2 linked regions of the Anolis sagrei genome follow. The protein of the gene in region 2 purifies or fractionates together with the protein of the main gene of each other region. This does not show direct contact. Links are inferred from orthologs where the notes say so. Each region holds a gene or a part of one and is shown on either strand. Other genes may lie near its edges. The genes, in order: RPL7L1 and RPL13A.

Evidence for each region.
Region 1: the proteins of RPL13A (region 2) and RPL7L1 purify together in Homo sapiens (affinity purification with mass spectrometry; 3 studies listed by BioGRID and IntAct, with this or other methods). This does not show direct contact. The link is inferred for Anolis sagrei from reciprocal best matches to the Homo sapiens genes RPL13A and RPL7L1.

The regions. Positions count from the first base shown.
Region 1 is NC_090025.1:35,698,730-35,706,027, forward strand, and holds the start of RPL7L1 (ribosomal protein uL30-like), read left to right. Parts: upstream 1-4,056; 5' UTR 4,057-4,130; coding exon 4,131-4,144; intron 4,145-6,823; coding exon 6,824-6,932; intron 6,933-7,298.
Region 2 is NC_090026.1:21,586,696-21,594,604, reverse strand, and holds the start of RPL13A (large ribosomal subunit protein uL13), read left to right. Parts: upstream 1-4,660; 5' UTR 4,661-4,751; coding exon 4,752-4,766; intron 4,767-7,909. Other genes in the region: trans-1,2-dihydrobenzene-1,2-diol dehydrogenase-like, read left to right, coding at 1-114, 813-922. UniProt on the Homo sapiens protein: Associated with ribosomes but is not required for canonical ribosome function and has extra-ribosomal functions.

The sequences.
Region 1 (7,298 bases), on a different chromosome or scaffold from region 2:
AACAAAAGAGTATTTTTTCAGACAGAGCTACTGGTTTTTGCTGATTTTGGCTGGTTTTGTGATCTCTGTCCACTTGTTCCATTCTTTTTGAAGGCTTGCAGCAATTTGTTGGATATGTACTAAGGTTCTTCCTAAGGTGTTTTAAGAAGCAAATGCTTGGGTTATGGTTTGCTGTTTTGGTTCTATTGTGCAAATTTTCCCTTCTCTGAATATTCGTGTATGTGTGTGTGTGTGCGCGCGCATATGTGTGTGTATGTGGCGGGGCATCCAGTCAGACCCAAAACATGGGACCTGTTTTGGTCTCCAAGACAACAGGAAACAAGCTTGCCCCCTTCTCAATGTGCCTCCTTTCAAATATCTAAGTTTATCATGTCTCCGCTCAATCATATTTTCTCCAGGTTAAACATACCAAGCCCCCCCAAGTCTTTGATCATTTAGGTCTCCTTTCTCTGGACACATTGCAGCTTGTCAATATCCCTCTTGAATTGTGGTTCCCAGAACAGGACACAGTATTCGAGGTGAGACCAACCAAAGAAGAATAGTGGGATTATGACTTTCCTCGATCTCGACACTATACTCTCATTGATTCAGTAGATCAGATAGTAGATACTACAAATAAACACTGCAAATAGTTTGTGCCTGCTTATGTTCATGAGAAGAAACAGAGAGGGATATGCAAATAGTTTGCTAATTCAACTTTATTTGATCTCTATAGATCCATGAGAAGAATGCCTGGCCAATGTATTGCATGCAAGGAATTGGGGAAAAAACTGACGGTTTCAATTTTTCCCCAAAGAAATACACTCACCCTCAATATTATGTGGTGAATGACAAGTCTAAATCCTTGTTTATTAAAAAGTGTTGAATTTATGGTGTGTTGAGCTTATATAACACTGCAGCTGTGGGAGATCAGTTGCAGCTTCAGAGTATTTTCTGGCAAGAGCAAAAAAGTACTGCCTTTAAGCTATCCAAAGAGTTGCTCTGTCTTAATCCAAAGAAACAAAAAAGTATGACCATTTTTGGAGAAAGAGACAAACGCCAGATGTATGGGATTGATTCTAAGGAAGAAATGCTTCCAACTCTTACCTGGAAATAAACTCAATTGAATATAGTGAGGCCTACTTTTGAGTAAATCACTACCAAATAAGAATGCAGGGCAACAAAAAAGTTACTCATTTATCGAGAGTAAAGATAATTTAACCCTATAGGATTTATTTCCAAGTATAACTGTATAGGATTGCACTGTAAGAACTGATTAATTAGAGGAAAGGTGTTTTTAGGTGTTGTCTATACAGGTGTACTATTTCGTAAACTCTGCCTTGTTATATTTTATATACACAACTGTCTAAAAGCTTTTGATTCATAGATGGGTCATAATATCTATATTTGTATTATATTACGCGACCACTTTCTCTAAGAATAAAGCAATTTTATGGCAAATCTCTTATATCCTTTGAATCAATGGAAACTGGCATTAGTTTTTATTATTTATAGTGTCAAAAGTGAATAGAGGGTACAGTTATAATGTATTTAACAGAACACAAAGAAATACTAGATTTTCTTTGACCAGACACTGGCCACTTGGAGTGCCTCTGATGTCGCTGTAAGGAGGTCCTCCATTGTGTATGTGGCAGGGCTCAGACTGCATTGCAGTAAGTTTTTTTTGTTGTTGTTGTTGTGTCAGGAGCGATTTGAGAAACTGCAAGTCGCTTCTGGTATGAGAGAATTGGCCGTCTGCAAGGACGTTGCCCAGGGGATGCCCAGATGATTTGATGTTTTTATCATCCTTGTGGGAGGCTTCTCTCATGTCCCCGCATGAGGAGCTGGAGTTGAAAGAGGGAGCTCATCTGCCTCTCCCCGGGTTTGAACCTGTGACCTGTCGGTCTTCAGTCCTGCTGGCACAGAGGTTTAACCCATTGCGCCACCGGGGACAGTAAGTGGTCTGTGGATTGCTCTTCTTCACACTTGCATGCCGTGGACCATTTCTTAAGGTTAGCTCTGCATCTCATGGTGCCAGAGTGCAGTCTGTTCAACACCTTCCAAGTTGCCCATCCTTCAGTGCGGCCAAGTGCGGCTGTGGATTGAGGTTCTGAGTTTTAACCTGCCACTTTTGGATTCTCGCTTGCTGAGCTGTGTCTGCGAGTATCTCTGTATATTTTAGAAAGCTATTTCCTGCTTTAAGGCATTGGCATGCTGGCTGATATCTGAACAGGGGATGGGCTGAAGATGTCACTACCTTGGTCCTTTCACTATTCTTGGCAGATATCAGGTGGTGCAATACCGGCTAAACAGTATAATTTCTCCAGTGGTGTAGGGCACCCTGTGATAATGTGGCATGTCTCATTAAGAGCCACATCCACTGTTTTAATGTGGTGAGATGTGTTCCACACTGAGCATGCATATTCAGCAGCATAGTAACAAAGCATAAGGTTAGATGTATTCACTCTATCTGGTTGTGATCCCCAGGTTGTGGGGGAATCTCAAATAAATAAATAAATAAATAAGGTTGAAGTCCCAAAAGTAACTTTTTAGATCTTGCATATATAATAGCAGTAATAAAGGGGTGATTAGTGGATCTAATTGTACTAAAGATAACAGATGTGTTCTGACCTTGTAAATTAAGAAGGTTAGGACTAGCCTAAGAAATTTATTTATTTATTTATTTACTTTATTTGTATACCGCTCTTCTCAGCCCTTAGGCGAAAGTCTTGTAAAGAACATTTTTAAGACTATGTAGTGTTTTAGATATTTTAAAAGAGTTTTAATGGTTAAAAGTACCTATTTTAATAGTTCCATGTTTAATTCTATTTTAGTATTTATATGTTGTAGGTTTGAAATGGTACATTGAATTGTATTTTAGCATTCATGGGGCTGCAAGAGGTGACGTAAATGCTTACACACACTTTAGTATTCTGTTTAAATTCAATGTATTATTTATGATAAGAGTCTTAAGGGTGCAAACTGAAAAATCTCAAATTCAGATCTTTTCACTCAATTGATTTAATGTGCCTAGTTTTAGTCTAATTATAACATTTTTCCATGGCAAAATAATTTCAGTCAGGCATACAACTGCAACTGAAATTGTTTTGCATTCTCAACGACTGGGAACTTAATGTATGAATATATATATATATATTTCACTCCATAAGGTCGGGTTTTAGGTTGGAATAAATAAAATACAATTTGAAAAAATATACATAATTAAAAAATTAGATTAAAAGCATATGAAACAATTTAATTCACAGACATCCTACTATCCGTTATTAAATTAACTTAGGCAAGTTACATGCTGGGTGGAATCTACACTGTAGAATTAATGCAGTTTGACACCACTTTAACTACCACTTTATATCTGAGATTTGCAGTTTATCCTACTCTCCCAAATAGTACTAGTTCCTCACGAAAACTACAACTCCCAGGATTCTATAGCATTGAGCCATGGCATTTTACTTGCAATATTGGGCATGTTTGCTTTTGCTCCTCCTTTTTGAGGCTACACTGTGCAATGAATGCAGTTTCACTCCGCACTTAAAGTGGAGTGAAACTGCATTAATTGCACAGTGTAGCCCCAAAAAGGAGGAGCAAAAGCAAACATGCCCAATATTGCAAGTAAAATGCCATGCTAGATTTATATCATGGTCACCAATAGCTGGGAATGATTTGACAGCACTCAACCACAAAATGATACAAAATGTCATTCAAAGTAATGTGATTTTCAAAGTAACCAGAGTTTAGAAAAAAGGCTGTAAGCTTAAAAGCATTGATAAATCATGATATTATTTTCCCTTAATGAAATAACATGGGTTTGGAAAAGCAGGAAGCCCTTGGTATTGAATAAACACCCCACTGCTTTATCTTAGTTAGAGCTTAGCATTTGATTTTCATAACTTTTGGGGCTTAGTCTCATTTCTAATTGAGAAATGTTGAAAGCAAACCCGAAAGTTTCTCCTCCGTTCGTTCTGTCTTAACTTTCTATGTCTATGCAAGACATAAAGGGGAAGGCGCTCGAGAACCCTACCAATAAGGTTGCAAAACGCATGCAAATTGATGTAAGCATTCTTTTCCCTTCTGCGCATGCTCGGCAGTGTGCGCATGCGTAGTAACCTGGTAAACCCAGGTGGAGAGGAAACATGGCGGCGCTTGAGTGAGTTTCACGGGGAGGAAAGGGGGAGGAAGGGAATCTGCGTCCATCCTCAGGGAAGGAGGGCTTTGGACACATTGAAATAATAGATCTGTGTCTAGAATGGCTTCATCTTTGTTTAATTCGGTTTCATCGGTGTAAACAAGAGTTTTGTTGCTTCTCGGGGCCGCTCTGTTTATATGTGTTGACAATCTGAGAATTTTATAGTTGTATAAAAGAATGTGGAAGAATTGAAAGGGAAATTTGGGGTGTCATATATCTCCTACATTGGGGAGGGAGAACTATATTAATACTAGCCGTCCCCTGTCCTTTAGGGATACCTTTCAAATCTATGATACTATATCTCTCTCTCTGTGTGAATCATATATATCTATATCTGGATGGCTCTCTGTCAGGAGGGCTTTGATTATGTTTCTTTGCCCTGGTGAAGGGAGTTGGACAGGATGGCCTTAAGTATTTTCTGTTGATCATGGGGGTTCTTTGTGGGAAGTTTCATCCAATTCTGTCATTGGTGGGGTTCAGAATGCTTTTTGATTGTAGGTGAACTATAAATCCCAGTAACTACAACTCCCAAATGTCAAGGTCTATTTCACCCAAACTCCATGTGTGTGCATATTTGGGCATATGGAATATTCGTGCCAAGTTTGGTCCAGATCCATCATTGTTTGAGTCCACAGTGCTCTCTGGATGTAGGTGAACTACAACTCCCAAACTCAAGGTCAATGGCCACCAAACTCTTCTAGTGTTTTCTGTTGGTCATGGGAGTCCTGTGTGCCACATGTGATTCAATTCAATCATTGGTGGAGTTCAGAATGCTCTTTGAGTGTAGGTTAACTGTAATTCCCAACAACTACAACTCCCAAATGACAAAATCTTTTTTTTTATTGGCGTGATAGGTGTATTGTGTCCAAATTTGCTGTCAATTCGGCCAGTAGTTTTTGAGTTATGTTAATCCTACAAACGAACATTACATTTTTATTTATATAGCTGTGGAAGAACTGAAAGGGAAATTTAGGGTGTCATATATCTCCTATGTTGGGGGAAAAACTATATTATATTACTTTCCTAGTTCCAACAGACCTCACTACCTCTGAGGATGCTTGCCATAGATGCAGGCGAAACGTCAGGAGAGAATGCCTCTAGATCATGGTCATATAGCCCGAAAAAACATACAACAACACAGTTATTCAGGCCATGAAAGCCTTCGACAATATATTATATTAATATTATATTAATTTATATCCACCTTCGAGACTCAAAGCCCCTCACATCTTAAATATCCCAAACCCCAAATCATTGTATTTAAATACCAATTAACTGTGTTGAACTAGCATCATATGTAAGGAGCAATGTAATAAATTTGTGTTAATTGCTAGTGCTTGGTTTTGAGAGCATTATGCACTTAATCCAGATTTGATCAGACTCTTTAAATCTGGATTATATGGCAGTGTGGACTCATATAATCCAGTTCAAATCAGATAATCTGGGGCTCTTTACACACAGCTGAATAAAATCCCAAACTATCTGGTTTGAACAGGTATATATGGCAGTGTGGACTCAGATATTCCAGTTCAAAGCAGATATTGTGGGTTATTCCGCCTTGGTATTCTGGATTATATGGCTGTGTGGAAGGGCTCTGGATTATCTACTTATCAATCTGGATTATATGTCAGTGCACAAAGGTCTCAAATCCATTGAAATCTATGATTAAGCACAACTGACTCGAGGTCCTGTGGATTTCAGTGTGAGAGTCTGGAGCAGGATGTACACTGCCATATAATACAGTCTGGATCTGCATTATATGGTCAGTGCAGATTCAAATAATGCAGTTCAGTAGGTCCAGCGAGTATATATATCAGTGGTTCCCAACCTTTGGGCTTCCATGGGCCCTTCCACGCAGACCTGTATCCCAGAATATCAAGGCAAAAAATCCCACATTATCTGCTTTGAACTGGGATATCTGAGTCCACACTCAGATAATGTGGGATTTTCTGCCTTGATATTCTGGGATATAAGGTTGTGTGGAAGGGCCCCCAGTGTTTTGAACTTCAGCTGCCACAGTTCCTAACAGCTGGTGAGCTGGCTGGGATTTCTAGGAGTTGAAGTCCAAAACACCTGGAGGCCCAAAGGTTAGGAACCACTACTCTATATAATGGAGACCAGTGGTTCTCAACCTGGGGTCCCAGATGTCTTTGGCCTACAACTCCCAGAAATCCAAGCCAGTTTACCAGCTGTTAGGATTTCTGGGAGTTGAAGGCTAAAAACATCTGGGGACCCCAGGTTGAGAACCAAGGATGTAGATTCAAACTGCTTTATATGCAGTGTGGATATAGACTGCTGTGTCCATATAGTTGAAAATGCTGCTTTAATGTTTGCTCTTTAACAGAAGCATTTTATATAAGCGAACAATCCAGTTAACTTGAGAATTCTTAGATGACTTTAGAAAGCACTTCTGAGACAAGTAAAATTGATTTATATTAATATTATAATCATTGTGTTTATATCCTGCTTTTCCCCTCAGAACCTTGCGTCAGGATGTAAATACAGCATAGGAAATACATGCAATTGACTTTCATTGAAATGTAATTAAGCATGGGAGGGGGTTGGACAGATGCCCTCTTCCAGCTCTCTGCTTCTGCATTAGATATATTATGTTGTAAACCCTTGTCTCTGTATGTTTAGGCCACCCAGGAAGATCCCTTTGGTGCCAGAAAACCTACTGAAGAAAAGGAAGGCCTATCAGGCAATCAAGGCCACCCAGGCAAAGCAGGCCTTGGAGGACAAGAGAAAGGTAGGGGAGATACAATATAAGACCAGAATATACTTTGCTGTACTTATGTTCTATGAAGACTGAAAGCATTAGTTGTTTTAAGGGAAATCATTTCACTATAGCATTGTAAACAATGGGACGCGCATTCATGGATTTTCTGTTCTGGAACCAAATCCCAGCAGATACCAATTGTCCTCTGTAGTAACTTTCCACATATATTTATTTTCATTTAATTTAGTACAATGTACTAAATTAATTGAAAATAAATATAGATGGAAAATTATTTCTTTAAATAAAGAACCAGATATAGATGAAAATGAGGTTTAGCAAGAAATAGCTGGGAAAGTAAATAAATAATAGTATATGTGTCTTAATGCTTAAGGGAGG
Region 2 (7,909 bases):
TCAATGGGCAGAAGGAAGAGTTTCCCCTTCCTGCTCCATCCCAAAAACTGAACTTTCCTAGCGGCACAGGTCTACGATATGAGGCAGAGCATGTCAGGCAATGTATTCTGAAAGGTAAGAGCCCAAACTGTAACCATGGGTGCATCTACACTGTAGAATTAATGTGGTTTGATATTCAATTGCCATGGCTCAATATTATGGAATTAAGGGATTTGTAGTCTGCTGATGCACCAATGCTCTTTGGTAAAGAAGGCTAAAAGGTTGAGAAAGATGGTATATAAATATGGTTAATAATAATAATAATAATAAGAAGAAGAAGAAGAAGAAGAAGAAGAATCTTGTAAAACTTCAACATAGCATTGAGTCATGGCAGTTAAAATGTTTTTAAACTGTATTATTTCTACAGTATTTATCAGGTATGCAAACTTCAGCCTTCCAGGTGTTTTGGACTTCAACTTCCACAATACCTAACAGTCTACCGGGATTTGCAGTTTGGTGAGGCACCAGCAGTCATTGGCAGGGAAGGCTGGTTCTCAACCTGGGGTACCCAGATGTTTTTGGCCTTCAACTCCCAGAAATCCTAACAGCTTGTAAACTGGCTAGGATTTCTGGGAGTTGTAGGCCAAAAACATCTGGGGAACCACTGGAAGACTATAAAACTACAACTCCCATGATGCTATAGCAGTTAAAGCTGTATCAAACTGTTTTTATTCTTCAGTGTATGTAGATTCATCCCAATTGTGTTGTGCAGATGGATGTAGAAAAAGCAGACAGCTTGACCTTTTCTTGTTTCTTTCTTTTACTTTTCTTAGGCTTGAAGGAGAGCCCTGTCATGTCTCACGCAGACAGTGAACTTATTCATTCCATCTTGGATGAAGCCCGCAGGCAGCTGGGAGTATCCTATCCTCAGGACCATGCCTGACCCATACTGTAGTTTGCTCTCTATGTATATGATAAAAGAAACATTACTATGTTATCCCTAGATAATTCCCAATACTGTGAACATAAGGGTCAACCAGTCAAGTTGCAAGAGTTGGTTACACAGTTTGGAATTTGCAGATAAGTTCCAAGAAGCTTGCTGTTTGTTATACAGGGTTAGTCAAAATGCATAGGCCAATAAGCCATTCAATTGAATGGCTTATTGGCCTATGCATTTTGACTAACCCTGTATATTGTATTTCTTCAATTCTAAGCCACAATCCACCATATAGACATCCCAAAAGCAGGGTGTGACTTACATTAAAAGTGAGATAGATAGAAAGCTTTTTTTCCTATTAGTGGTACTGAAATTAGTATCGTTTTACAATTGATGGCAATTCAGAATTGAAGAAATATAGAAATTTCCACTGTCAGACAGCAAACTGTAAAATAAAGCTAATGTTGCCTTCCTCTCACAATTTGTTGTGTTTTTATGGAGTGTTTTACACCTTTTTCTCACACTTGTGTTTGAACCGGAGACTTTTATGATTGAGTGACTGAATATTAAAGACAATTGGGTGTTCCGACACTAGGTGTATGCAGTGGTTCTTAACTTGTGGGTTCCCAGATGCTTTGGCCTTCAACGCCATGAAATCCTAACAGCTGGTAAACTGGTTGGGATTTCTGGGAGTTGTAGGTCAAAACATCTGGGAACCCAATGAAGGATCACCGATGTAGGGTCACTCCAAATGCACAAGTTTAGGAGTCCCCTCAACGGCCCAATGTAGCCAGGCGAGGAGGAAGCCATAAGTTAGATTCTTTCTACAAAGGCTTTATTGCGTGGCCATAGCAATAACGACAAACGTGCATACAGGAATGCAACCAAAGGTTTTGTCACAACCTCCAACGGGACTGCCGAGTTTTTGTCATTTTTGGCAGTAAATTGAATACACATTCTCATTGTTTTCCAAAGACAAATCATTTCATTGGTCTAAGCTAGCTCATTGGTTCTTTATGATTTTGACTGACATGATAGCACACGTGGGACCTTAAAAAGTCTGTCGTCCCTTCAATGGTGTAGCAAAGTTATTATCACTTTAACAGAAAATTAAAAGCACATTCTCACTGGTGTACAAAGATCAATTATTCCATTGGTCTAAGCTGGCTAATACAGATTTTCATTAGCCCTCTATCTCAAAAAAGCAGTACAATAGCACAATTATGCTTTCATGCCTCTGACCCTGACTGTCTATCTTATCTACTTTTCTGTTTCAAACATAGACTTCAAGCACTGAGAGAAATTAGGGAGTGTTAGCTAACACCAGCACTGCTCCAGTGAATTCATCCTTGAGCATAATTCACCTCCCTATGGCAGTTCTCTCACTTTTACAGACAAAGGCCTCTATGAATCAGGACATATGGGACTTACAATCATTGGAGGCATTTATGAAAATTCTATTTAAAACTACGCCTCCCTCACTGGGATTTGTAGTTTGGTGAGGCACCAGCAGTCATTCGCAAGGAAGGCTAAAGACCTTGTAAAACTACAACTCCCATTGCGCTATACCAGGGATTCTCAAACTTTTTAAACAGAGGGCCGGTCACTGTCCCTCAAACTGTTGGAGGGCCAGATTATAATTTGAAAAAAGCATGACTGAATTCCTACGCACACTGCACATATCGTATTTGTAGTGCAAAAAATGCTTTAAAACAATTCAATAACTAAAATGAAAAACAATTTTAACAAATATAAACTTACTAGTGTTTCAGTGGGAAGTGTGGGCCTGATTTTGGCAGATGAGATTGTTGTTGTTGTTGTTGTGTGCTTTCAAGTCCTTTCAGACTTAGGTTGACCCTGAGGGAGGGCCGGGTAAATGACCTTGGAAGGCCTTATCCAGCCCACGGGCCTTAGTTTGATGACCCCTGTCCTATACCATAGCAGTTAGTTTATTTATGACATTTATATGCTTTCCTTCTCACCAAAGGGACTCAGAGTGGCTTACAAGATATATATACATACAATATATTATATTATTAGCATAGTACAATATCAGTATTAAATATATGGAGCCTCTGGTGTCGCAGTGGGTTAAACCCCCCCCCCCCTTTTTTTGTCATGTTAGGAGTGACTTGAGAAACTGCAAGTCGCTGGTGTGAGAGAATTGGCCGTCTGCAAGGACGTTTCCCAGGGGATGCCCGGATGATTTGATGTTTTTATCATCCTTGTGGGAGGCTTCTCTCATGTCCCCGCATGAGGAGCTGGAGCTGATAGAGGGAGCTTACCCGCCTCTCCTTGGATTTGAACCTGCAACCTGTCAGTCTTCAGTCTTGCCGGCACAGGGGTTTAACCCACTGCGCCACCGACAGGTCTCAGGTTCGAATCTGGGGAGAGTGCAGATGAGCTCCCTCTCTTAGCTCTAGCTTCTCATGAGGGGACATGAGAGAAGCCTCCCACAAGGATGGTAAAACATCAAAAACATCCGGACGTCCCCTGGGCAATGTCCTTGCAGATGGCCAATCCTCTCACACCAGAAGTGACTTTCAGTTTCTCAGGTCGCTCCTGACATGACAAAAAAAAAAAGCATAGTACAATATCAGTATTAAATATTACTATGATGGCACAACCGGGAAGATTAAGGGAAAACTATATGTGTCTGGCTATTTTCCCAGTGACCATCGGTATGCCCTATATGTATTTTAATTCCCCCAAAATAAAACTCTAGAGACAAGACTAAAATTAACCAATTAAGTTTACTGAATAATCAGGGTGAATAAAAACAAGGTATAAAGGTGCAGTTTGATTCTTGATGGTAAAGACAACAGGAGACTATGAAGTATAATGATGCTCTGAGATAACAACTATATTCTCTATGACAAATACAGATGAATTCTTTATAACATATACTATAGACTCTAAGGCAAATACTATAATCTTTGAGGCATGTATTATCTAATCTATATGGCAAATACGTGCTAAGGATGGCCTGTTCAGACTGCTAAGCCAGACCAGACAACAAGCCAAATATATTGTTCTATGCCATTATATTGTAATATTATTAATATTACATGTAATATAAATATATAATTATAATATCATATTTTATTAGTATTATATTGCATTACATTATTATATTATAAATATAATATGTATATACAATATTATTATTTAGTAAAATTATATACAGTTAAAGCTGTTTTTATTCTATAGTGTAGAATAGATGAAGGCAAGCTTCGTCCTTCCAGGTGTCCGACCGGCTGCTAGGAATTTTGAGGGCTGAAGTTCAAAATACCTGGAGGGTTGAAATTGGCCCATGCCTGGTCTACACTGCCAATATAATGCGGTTGCAAACTGCACGTGTTGATAGGGATATAGCTTATTTATTTATTTGTCGTGTCAGGACAACCAGTCAAATTATATTACATTTCTAACAGAACAAAGCAAACAAACAAACAGACAAAATACAAAATGTGTGAGTTTGGTAGTTGATTAAATGTCCTTTGACCAGTATCTGGCCACTTGATATTGTCCAGGGATATAGCTAAAGCAGTAGTTTGGTCCTGGAAGCTTTTGGACTTCAGCTCCCATAATTCTAAGCAGTTGAGTCAGTCAGCTAGTGCTTCTGGGAGTTGAAGTCCTCAAGGTTGGGCAGTTCTGTCTAGTAGCTAGGCCTCAACCCTGGCTGTTAAGGAGAAGGAAAACTTTAGGGGACGCCCTTGGTGACGTCATTTCCGCACCTGCGCATTTCGAGTCCCGCCCTGAAGCGGCAGAGAGGGTAACCCCGTAGCCGGCGGTGGGCGGAGCCTCTTTCCCGTGCGGCCGCCGAGGAGCAGCCATGACGGAGCCGAAGGTGCGGAGCTTCTCTAAGGCCTCGGTGGCTTTTTTTCCTTGGGTCGGCGGGAGGAGGGCGGCGAAAGAAGGCCGAGGGGCTCGCTTGATGCCTCCTGAGGCCTTGGTGGCGGGGAAAGGGGAGAAAAAAAAGGCCAATTCCCCATTTGTGAGGCCTCAGCCAGGACTAGGCCTCAGGCGCGAGAGTGCAAGAAGAGTGTCCCATAGAAATGTGCACACCTTATAACAGCTCACAGTCGCTCTGGTGAATATTTTAAGGCCTAAGCAATCCCAACTGTATTGAAGAACGAATCTTACAGTAATTATTTCATCAGATGTACAAGTTCCATCTTAAATTAGGATTTTAGTCCATTTCTTTATATATATATTCCAAATAATTTGGATTAAACATTTACTAGGAAAGTGGGAAATGGGACAAGGGAAGGAAAAGGAAAAAAATGTGAATAATAATTAGTTATTGGTTAGTACCATCCTTAAAAATGTCTAATATATAACCATATATATATATTCCAAATAATTTTGATTAAACATTTACTAGGAAAGTGGGAAATGGGACAAGGGAAGGAAAAGGAAAAATGTGTGAATAATGATTAGTTATTGGTTAGTAGCATCTTTACAAATGTCTAATATATAACCATATATATATATTCCAAATAATTTTGATTAAACATTTACTAGGAAAGTGGGAAATGGGACAAGGGAAGGAAAAGGAAAAAAATGTGAATAATAATTAGTTATTGGTTAGTAGCATCCTTTAAAATGTCTAATATAATGGTTCTTTACCTTCCTAATGCTGTGACCCCTTAATACAGTTCCTCATGTTGTGGTGACCCCCCAACCTTAAAGTTATTTTCATTGCTACTTCACAACTGTAATTTTGCAACTGTTATGAATTGTAATGTAAATATCTGATATGCAGGATGTATTTTCATTTGCTGCACCAAATTTGGCACAAAGACCCGATACACCCAAATTAGAAAACTGGTGGGATTGGAGGGGATTGATTCCATCATTTGGGAGTTGTAGTTGTTGGGATTTATACTTCATCTGCAAACAAAAAGCATTCTGAACTCCACCAATGATAGAATTGAACCAAACATGGCACAGAACTCCCATGACCAACAGAAAATACTGGAAAGGTTTGGTGGGCATTGACCTTGAGTTTTGGAGTTGTAGTTCATCTATGTCCCTAGAGCACTGTGGAATCAAAACAATGATGGATCTGGACCAAACTTGGCATGAAAATCAGTATGTCCAAATGTGGACTCTGGTGGAGTTTAGGGAAAATAGACTTGATATTTGGGAGTTGTAGTTGATGGGATTTATAGTTCACCTACAATCAAAGAGCATTCTGAACCCCACCAAGGTTAGAATTGGGCCAAACTTCCCACACAGAACTCCCCATGACCAACAGAAAATAGTGTTTTCTGGTGGTCTGGCGACTCCTCTGACACCCCCTCACGACCCCTCCAGGGGTCCCAACCCCCAGGTTGAGAAACACTGGTCTAATATATGGTGAGGTGAAAACACAAGGTGAGAGTAGTTGAGGTATGGGGAAAAAAATCATCATTGTTGCCGTTAAGGCTTCATTTCTATTTCTTTAACACATATTTGGTAAAATATTGAGGATTCTAACCATGTTAATTTTAAGTTCCATTGATCGTATCTCCTGTCTTCTCACATTGTCTCCTGGTCTTCATATATTCTTTTCCAGTTTTCCTTCAGTGAAAGTTTATCTTAATTTTTCATAATGGTTTATTTATTTATTTACTGCATCTTTACTCTGCTTCATCTCAACCCTGAAGGGGACTCAGAGCAGCTTCCAGATTGGCAATATTCAATGCCACATGAAACATAAAACATACAAATACAAATTGCAATATACATTAAAATTTCTATTTCTTTAACACATATTTGATAAAATATTGAGGATTCTAACCATGTTAATTTTAAGCTCCATTGATCGTATCTTCGGTCTTCTCACATTGTCTCCTGGTCTTCATATATTCTTTTCCAGTTTTTCTTCAATGAAAGTTTATCTTAATTTTTCATAATGGGTTATTTATTTATTTACTGCATCTTTACCCTGCTCCATCTCAACCCTGAACAAGACTCAGAGTGGCTTCCAGATTGGCAATATTCAATGCCACATGAAACATAAAACATTCAAATACAAATTGCAATATACATTAAAATCATAAAAAGTCATAAAAACAATGGCATATAAATACATTACATATACTGTTAAACATTGCACATAGACCTGAATTCTTAGTCCAAGAACCATTCCAAATTGCATTACATTCCATTCACTTCATAGCTGCATGTTGACCCTACTTCCCAAATGCTTTCACATTAAACCTTTTCTTAAAACATTTGTTGTCAATATCTACAAAATTGTACAGTTGCTAGTAGATTAGTGTTTATATCATTTTAGCAGTATCATGCTGTCTCAGTATTTCGTCCAATATATTTTCCATCTACAACTCTTGAATTTAAAAACTTCTGATTTAACCATAATCACTCGACAAAGCAAGTAGATAGGACATAGGTATACACTATAGGACCCACAATATGAACAGCTGAACTTTATTTATGTATATATATAGGGGGGGGGGTTGATATAAAAGAAGGCTAGGAACAAAATCTTGAGAAAGAAGTTTGAGAGATCTGGCCTCCAGGAGCTATCAGGAAAGTTCTTAAAAATAAATATTAAGAACTGTCCCTGAAGGCTAGATCTCTCCATCTTCTCCTTCTCAAGGTTTTGTTCCCACTAGCCTGTCTAGCCTACATTTATACTAATCTGTCTCTTTATGTATACATAAATAAAATTCAGCTGTTCATATTGTTGGCCCTGTAGTGTATACCAAATACTTGCTTTGTTGAAGCGCAGACTTACACATTTCAGTTTTTTAAAATTTCATGATACATCTCTGCTGTTGGAAGTTTCAGTTCTGTTAAAAGTGCATACATTTTTGGGTCAAAGACAAATTATAAAATCATTAAAGATTGTACAAAGCGGCTGAAAGCCACAAAGGTGCCTGATGTTTTTACAACTTTTTGAAATTACTTTGGAAATTACTTTGATTTTACTTGTAATTTTATTTTCTGTATACGATGCTCTGTTATTGTAAATTAAAAACA